2 linked regions of the Neodiprion lecontei genome follow. The protein of the gene in region 1 interacts with the protein of each later gene in a pairwise test. Links are inferred from orthologs where the notes say so. Each region holds a gene or a part of one and is shown on either strand. Other genes may lie near its edges.

The links.
Region 2: the proteins of proteasome maturation protein (region 1) and proteasome subunit beta type-6 interact in binary tests that used the Homo sapiens proteins (3 or more experiments, as listed by UniProt). The link is inferred for Neodiprion lecontei from reciprocal best matches to the Homo sapiens genes POMP and PSMB6.

Annotation. Positions count from the first base shown.
Region 1 is NC_060265.1:6,325,747-6,329,854, forward strand, and holds proteasome maturation protein, read left to right. Parts: upstream 1-1,936; 5' UTR 1,937-2,091; coding exon 2,092-2,094; intron 2,095-2,457; coding exon 2,458-2,555; intron 2,556-2,685; coding exon 2,686-2,746; intron 2,747-2,826; coding exon 2,827-3,002; intron 3,003-3,113; coding exon 3,114-3,201; 3' UTR 3,202-3,300; downstream 3,301-4,108. Other genes in the region: 2-oxo-4-hydroxy-4-carboxy-5-ureidoimidazoline decarboxylase, read right to left, coding at 3,525-3,711, 3,797-3,947. UniProt on the Homo sapiens protein: Molecular chaperone essential for the assembly of standard proteasomes and immunoproteasomes. Degraded after completion of proteasome maturation. Mediates the association of 20S preproteasome with the endoplasmic reticulum.
Region 2 is NC_060263.1:40,316,895-40,321,206, reverse strand, and holds proteasome subunit beta type-6, read left to right. Parts: upstream 1-1,907; 5' UTR 1,908-1,998; coding exon 1,999-2,082; intron 2,083-2,323; coding exon 2,324-2,391; intron 2,392-2,527; coding exon 2,528-2,659; intron 2,660-2,954; exon of another isoform or gene 2,955-3,150; coding exon 3,151-3,425; exon of another isoform or gene 3,426-3,509; coding exon 3,510-3,637; 3' UTR 3,638-3,767; downstream 3,768-4,312. Other genes in the region: nucleoporin Nup35, read right to left, coding at 115-984, 1,233-1,343; glycine--tRNA ligase, read right to left, coding at 4,079-4,189. UniProt on the Homo sapiens protein: Component of the 20S core proteasome complex involved in the proteolytic degradation of most intracellular proteins. This complex plays numerous essential roles within the cell by associating with different regulatory particles.

The sequences.
Region 1 (4,108 bases):
ATAATCTCGACGCTGAGTCTCTCGCGTTGTTTCAAAGTGAAACGCCTGACGCCATGGCCGACGGCAATTCGGTAAGCGTCTCGCGTCGTCTGCAGAGACGAAACTCCGTAAAATAGAGTTTGGCCAGATATTGGCACAGAGTTATTTAGTAGACGACTCTGCCGCACCGAGCGCACTTGATGCGCGGTCCTCTCTGAAAACACAAAATGGCGTCGTAAGAATGACGTGCCAGCATCTGTATCCGTTGATCCTTGGGTTTTTTTGGCACTGCTACAGGGTTGACGGAAGATTGAAATGTAAGATGCCGTTTAATAGTTCGTTGTGTTCAAGCTTCTCAAGAACGCCTTTTTCTATCTACCGGCCTGTAAATCAGGGTATCTTTGATATATGGCTGAAAAACGACGAAGCTGTGATAGAAAATCCCAGTTTGTTTCAGGATTGCTTTGTGAGTATTTCTCTGAGAGGACTCTCCCTCCCTGTCTGTTATTTGAATCTAATGAATAATAATATTTAAGAGAACCGAACATAAAGTACGCTCGGTGCGGTGAAGCCTTGTACTAAATGACTCTCTGCCAATTGCTAGCCCACTTCTTACTAGTGAGTACGGCACTCGGGCAGTGAACCGTGCATAGACAAACCACGGCACCGCAAGTGACAGTTTTATCTAAAATTGGATTCTTCCGAACTTCTTGCTGCAAGTCGATACTCATTGTCAGTATACGATTCTTCATTCCTCATCTTATCGCATTTTCCTGCAACGTTCTAATTCTATATTTATACTGCGCATTCTATCATTACGAAATAATTGTCATGCAAAAACGCAAGAGGCGACCATTTACAAATTGCCGAATGTTATTGGTATACTCATGTATCAGGTATGCCAAGAGATTATCTTGAAAGTTCACAGTTGGTCACGAACTCTCTGTTCGCACCACTCAAGTTTTCAGTTTGTTTATCGCAGGCTGGCCATCCCATCTTTAATTTCAAACTGTGAAAAGCCGTAAAATGATTGCATCGATGACGACGACGATTACATTGTCATTTTATTTACGGGGAATTCCCTGTCAAAACAAAAATGTCGACGATTATGTTTCCGTTTTATTTACGAGGCATTTCCTGTCAAAATATAATCGTCGTCGTCGTCGATGCAATCATTTTACGGCCTTTCACAGTTTGAAATTAAAGATGGGATGGCCAGCCTGCGAGAAACAAACGACGAATTTGAGTAGTGCCGAGTCGGCGGTGAGCAACTGCGAACTTTCAGGATAATCTCTTGGTGTGAAAAATATAGTAAGTTTTGAATCGATTTAGAACTTTTGACATCTGTTAATGGTGATCTGAATTATGTAATTCGATCAATCAATTTTCGAACATAATATGAAAAATGAACCGATCATTAGATTTGAAAAAATATGCAGCACATATTCAGTTCTCACGCTTATGTGATTAGTATTCTATATCCTGCGTATCTGCAGTTATTAAAATTAAAATGCGTGAATAAATGTTCTGTTCTATTTTTCTTCCAGTGAAACTCGTATGCCTCTTCAACGTCAGGTCTGAAAAGATGCACGTACGAAAGCTGCGTCTAATGAATGGAACGACCTATAGAAGGTAAAAAAAATTCTAAAGTTATTTTCTGGTCATTTAAGGTGCAGTACATTTGTATGTGAATTTTTTGTCCAGAGCTGCGATTAATTCACGCGAATCAATCGCGCCTTTAGCGCGTCAATTTTGCGAACGTCACACGAAAATCGTATTTATAGTCAGAAATATAAATCTCGAATAGTAGCAATTCATTATGTGGCAAATGTAATTTGCATTGTCAGCTAAGTTCGTGATTGTAAATAAAGGTTAGTTGTTGACAATGGTTTTTACTTACCACCACGAATCTCGGCAAATGAGTTTCAAAAGTTTGTTGCCAGAGGGCGTTTTCACGCCTCAACTCAGCTAACTTCACACCATTACCGCTCATTTCGCGATCAGTGCTCGTGTATAGCGTGTTATATTTCACCGCGGCTCTTCGTCAAGTCACGAGCGAACGAAATATTATTAAATAAGCAACCCCAGAAGCTGTTTGAAAAGTAATTCAATATGGTAAGACTAACTCCATCATTTTATTATATATTTGCGATACTTTAATATTTTTCTCCACGTGATTATTCGGCCAGTTCGTCGAATTTCTCGAACGTGACATTTGCAATATTTTTATTAAGGTTATGTTTACCCTCGTATTAATGACAAGTGCATCTTTTCTACATCGATGAATAAGTACTGAAGCTTTGTTTAATACGCTGTGATCCTATGTGAATATATCGTTAATAAGAAATCTAGCCGCCTGTTTCATTTCACGATTCGCATTTTTCTGTCATTTAAAACGTCCATAGTTACGAATTAGGTTAGGCGAAATTATCCTTCAACAGCAAATCAACAAATTTCTGCTCACACTTTTCCGCTCAGAGTTTTGGTCTACCTTCCGTGAAACCCAAGCCCTCGGCTGCAGATATAATCAGCATCCCCGACGACACGCATGGTGTTCCAAATGCACTTGTTTCAGGGTAAGTCACAATCAAGTATAAAGATATTTGTCATTGTTCCATTGGTTGATTTTCATCAGTATTCGCTTTTCGCCGTATAACAACTTTCTCAAAAAGAAGGAGAATAGTTGAATGAAATTTAATTGCACAGGCTATCTTCAACAAGAGCAAATCTTGGATTTTCACATCCTCTGCAAGCCTCCGAGCAAAACGTAAGTCGTAGTCAGACTGACTATTGCTTCTTTATACTAAGGCATTTACAGTTTTCACATCTTTTTATTCTGATCTCCAGTATGTGCAGAATAAATTGCGCATGGATATGGTTATGCTGAGAAACACGCAAGGACTTCACGCGCCAATGCGTCTAGCCATGGAGCTCAAAGCCGCTGACAAAGTTGGGAGACTACCGTTTCTTCCATCTTCTGGCCTCATGCGGGATGTTATTCTTGGTAGAGACGAAGAAATTGGGTAAGAGCTCTGATGACTGTGGATCACGGACCAAAAACAACGCAGCTTTGGATCTGAATGGAATTTTATCTTGCGTCAAACAAGTGACGACATTAATTTTACAATTCACAGATTCGAAGACATCTTCAACAACGCTGAATTTAGGGAACAAATGTGTCAGCCTCACGCGATGGTTGAAAAGAGTTTGGGAATTCTCTAAACATCGATTGGATCCTTATTTTTAAGCTTGTAATATCATAATTTGCACTCTGTTATTGTGCTCAATGGCAAAGGCAATTAATGAATACTTTTTTCAATATCTGTGCATTTCTTTTTATTTGATATTTACGAATGAATCCTCGTTTGCATGATTAAAAAATTTCGTCAAATTGTCGAACAGTGGCTTACGCAGATACTTAAGAATAAATATCAATTAATCACGTTACATGTATGTAAGATTTTTAATCCGCATATTATCTCCGAGCAGAAAAAGTAAAAATTGTCCATGTGTATGAGACAAGTGAACAAATTACTTTAACAAATTTATCGAGCATCCGACCAGACGACGTCTAGCAGGCGAATCCTGCATATCTTTTTGACTTCTTGAATCCCGACCTCAAGTTCCGTCTCGGGAGAATTGTTCAAACGATTTTCTATGCCGCTCAGAATCGCTGCCACTTTATTTTCCCGGGCACATATGACAAATGGAAAGTGAAATTTTTCCTTGTACCTGAAATTTCAAACAACGTATCGACCTTTTTTTTCCCTCGTGTAGCAACTGAACAAGATATTTTAAAATTGGCGTTTTTACTCACATGGCATTGAGATTCGCTAACGTTTGTTTTTCTTCTCGCGTCATCTCGTCGAGTCCTGCACACTTTTGTTCGTTCTGTGATTCGGTGGTCAATTTTCCCTCGGCCAATTTACCCGCCAAATCTGGATGCTTGATCAGTACGTTTTCCTTCTCTGAAAACCAATTCATAGACACGTTGACCGATATTCTTACAAAACAAACGGATTCGGACTTGAAACCTGCATTTTACGTTTCGAAAAACTTTCGGTACTGTCTTCAAGCGAATCCATCATGCGTTGTTAGCTCGTCAATTACTTAACAAAAATCAAAGTTA
Region 2 (4,312 bases), on another chromosome or scaffold:
ACTTGATGCGAACAAAAAAACAACCGTACAAAATTATACTAAAATTCGTCAGATTGAAGAGTAAAAACCGAATGGAGTTGCGAAATAAACGCAGTATGGGGGAATTGCATCGAGCTACCAAATGTATTCATAAATTTTTGAGAAGAACCCTGTCGACTTCTGTGGCACGTTTTGAGGCATTACAACTGCTTGGGGGCTCAAATGTTGGTTATAGCCTACCGCTAAAGGACGGGCATTCTGTATTCTTGGCGAAGTAGGTGGTAAACTACTCGCATAATCAGGTGATGAAAAATTTATTCTATCTGATGTAGAAAAGCACCTGGTGCCACTGCTCAATTTGGAAAGGTTATCTTTTTCTGATCCCAAAACTACTCCCTCATCTGTGCAAGGAACAACGCCTATCATTGTAGAGCCTGAAACAATGTTGCCATTGCACGCCAAAGCTCTGTGTGCATCTTGCTCTGACGCACATTTTAGATGGATCCAATTACCCTGAGCGTGAGGAGCGCCACGTTTCTCAACTACACGGACTCTGCTGGATATATGAGACAATACGGCGTTTATAGCATTTGGAGGAAAACCAAAGACTGTGACCCATTGCTGAAGCCCTTGCAACGGTTCGTTAAGAGAAAGGTTTGCAGGACTATCCAAGAACAAAGTGTTGTTCAAATTTGATCCCGTCAACACTCTCGACTGATTACTAGTAACATTCTGACCCACACTGGGACTCTGCGGCACCATTGACTGTGAAGTTTCAAGTGTATCGAAAAGTCCTCTAGTTGGAGGACCACCGGATTGCCCCTGTGAGCTGATTTGTGGACCACTAGGGCTCGTTACATTACCAAACATGGCTTTTTGGCGATTCGTACGGTAGTCTGGAGTGCAGTAGTTCGAACTAGGTGATGATAAGCCTCCACTGGTAATAGATCCGAATTGTGTATTTCTTGGGGTACCTTGGGGACTCATTATATTTAATCTAGCGGTCTGAAGCAGAACAAAATAAATACGAATAAGTGAGATGCTGCTTGGTAGAATTCGCACTTGTAAAATACAAACAGAGATCTAGGCTTACAGCAAAACAAATAAATTGCAAGTGAATGAACAAGGTTACAGGTTTGCGTTCTTAAAAATTTTGGAGTTTACAGAACTGAAGAATTACAGAATTATTATTTTTTTGAGAAAAAAAATTGAAATGTCGTTACAAGATGACTTCGAGTTGTTAAGATTCTTACAGGATTAGCATCTCCCAATAGGAAATTAGGTAGATATGTGGAGTTTGGTCCTGGACTTCCTGGTGTTTGGACTGGACTTCCAACAGGAGATCCAAGAGTCATGGGCTCCATCTAAAAATACACAAATTCATTCAATTTGCCATCAGAAATACACAATACAGGTAAAGTTGGCTAACAAAAGAGGTTATAATCTAAATAATAATTAGTTTTTATACTTCGTAGAAAGAGAAATGCTCGGATGTTAGACTTGAGCTATTTCTGAAACTTCATCATACCTTGATCTCTTGTAAAATATTCTTCTCGATATAAATAAATACGTTTGACAAGTGATCGCAATCAAAATCAACAGCCGAAAATTTTAAACGGTGAAGTATGGAGTTTATCCCTCCATATCCTTAACCATGGGTTACAATACTTCAAGAAAAACCACACTTTTTTTTACGATTTCCAGGTATGAGTTACTTTCCTCAAATCCGCTATGAAAGAGTGATGCAGTGTCGAAATTTGAACTCTTTCCGTTCATTTGTTTAATATAAAAAGAAAAGGGGTGAGTTTGCTCGGTCGGATAGGTAGAAGTACTACATGACATTGGTCGTCTGGTTTTCGCCGTTACGCGAGAATGAGATTGTCATTGTAATAACACAGCGACTCTCAGATCTATCTAGGTAACTTTTTTCGTGGCGTCGCAACAGTGACCACGGAGTTGTCGGTAGAATTACAGAACATATTAAACGTCGCTAAAATATTACGGATAAATTTTGGGAGTATGGCATTTGTCGAAGCCCCCTTTCAATCAAAAACCATGGATTCGATGGTGCCGGATTGGCTTTCAGCCGAACACAGTACCGGCGTAAGTTCGCCTTCGAGTTAAAAATCAGCCGTTTAGCGTACCAGAAAGTTTGAAATTATTATATGACGTTCACTTAGGTTAGAATGACGGTGCATGTAATTCTTTGACCATCACCCATGATTAGTATTTTCAATGGATGTAAACGCTTAAGAAAAGTCTTCTTGCACCTCCGAAAACAAGCAACCGACACATCTTGTTTTTCCTCATTTAAAAATTGGTATTTATTCATTCCTCTTTCCAGACATCAATCATGGCTTGTGAATTCGAAGGCGGTGTAGTAATCGGTGCTGATTCACGAACCACTACAGGGTATGTTGTTCAATGTAACCCAGATCTAAACTTCTCATTTTTATTTTCTGTGATTCTTGAAGTAAATTTACCTTGAAAAAATTTGGTTATTTGTCCTCTTCAGGCACAAAATAACATTTCACTGACTGATTTTCAGCGCTTACATCGCCAATCGAGTCACGGACAAGCTCACCAAAGTGACGGATCACATTTATTGCTGTCGTTCAGGCTCTGCTGCAGACACCCAAGCTATCTCAGATATAGTTTCGTACCACCTGGCTTTCCACCAGTGAGTCTATCAACGAGATTGTCATTATCTTCGAATTACTGGAGATATATAATTCTTAATTTATCTGCAAAGCGTGGGGTTCAGAGTAGTAAACTGGAGTTTAATACATTTCAAATGTTTTGTAGCACTGTTTGATAAGGATAATCAATATTTTACTCGTTATGATCCACAAATAATTTTAAGCTTTTATAAATGAAACAAAAAAGTTGAAGCCACATAGTTTTATTATTTGCAATATGTTTATATATGCTGAAGAATTTTAATCAAAGTTTCAAATGACTTTATGAATATGGGAAATTGAACAAAACATCTGCAAATTATTTGTGGACCAGAAAGAACTACTTGTAAGTCTTGGGAAAATCACTTTGGGATCCTAGTTAATACCTCACGTGCTGTATGTTTTTCATCTCTGGGACCTGTCAATAAATATTTGAGGAAATTAAAGCTAAAAATTCCACTGTGATAATCAAATTCGTGTTTTGAATTCTCAGAATGGAACTTGGTGAACCACCTTTAGTCGAGACCAGTGCAAATGTATTTCGTGAGTTGTGCTACAACTATCGAGACTCCCTTATGGCAGGCATTTTGGTAGCTGGCTGGGATCGTCGTAAAGGTGGTCAAGTTTACAGCATTCCTTTGGGAGGCATGTGCGTGCGCCAACCAATTGCAATCGGTGGCTCTGGTTCAAGCTACGTTTACGGTTACGTAGATGCGCATTATAAGCCCAACATGACCAAGGATCAGACAATAGAATTGGTCAGCAACAGTAAGTCATTCATTTCTTATTTGCCCCATGTTTGGTGTGTTTCATCTCCTTTCAATCACTGCATTCCTTTATTTCTTTTTGCAGCACTGTCATTGGCCATGTCACGTGACGGTAGCAGTGGTGGAGTCGTAAGACTTGGTGTTATAACTAAAGAAGGCGTTGAAAGACGAGTCATCCTCGGTAATAAGCTGCCTCAATTCTACGAGGGATAAATAAATTATTTCTACAACCATTTATTACATTACATGTCTTAAAGTGCCCTGTGTACTGTTTTAGCTGTTCAGCTGTAATCTGTTTAACTGGTTTTCCTTCAATTTTGGTAAATAAATGACGGAAACGAAATCAACTTTTCACGTTTACTCACCTCACAATCTCCAGCTGTATTCTTAAGAATTTATTTCGCATGGAAAGAGAGTCAACACTTGCTTCAATTATTGATGAATATAATTTATGGAGTTCATGAAATTTCTATCAAGGCATTTTAAAAATAACATACCATTATGCCAACAAGCATTCAAGGTCAATTCTCGAGGTTAAAATTTTGTTTCTAACCCTTAATTCAGCTTCCAAGGCTTAATAATTTCATTTGCATTTGCATAATGACTTTAAAAAAACATGCATTGCCTAATTTACTTTAAATATTATGCTGATTTCTATGCTTTTGCATTCTCTTGTTGTTCAAACTTAGGATACTTTTGTGCTACTTCAGCCCATGTTATTTTACATAGAGACAAGTCTTTCACCACGGTTGGGAGCTCGTCCAACTGAAACAGAGAAGAACACATGTTTAAACTCCCAAAACGTTTTAAAGATATGGAAAAAAAAGATGTTTTCAAAAGCTCAATTTTGGTTTGGTAAGATAAGTATAGCACATTACAGCCGGCTGA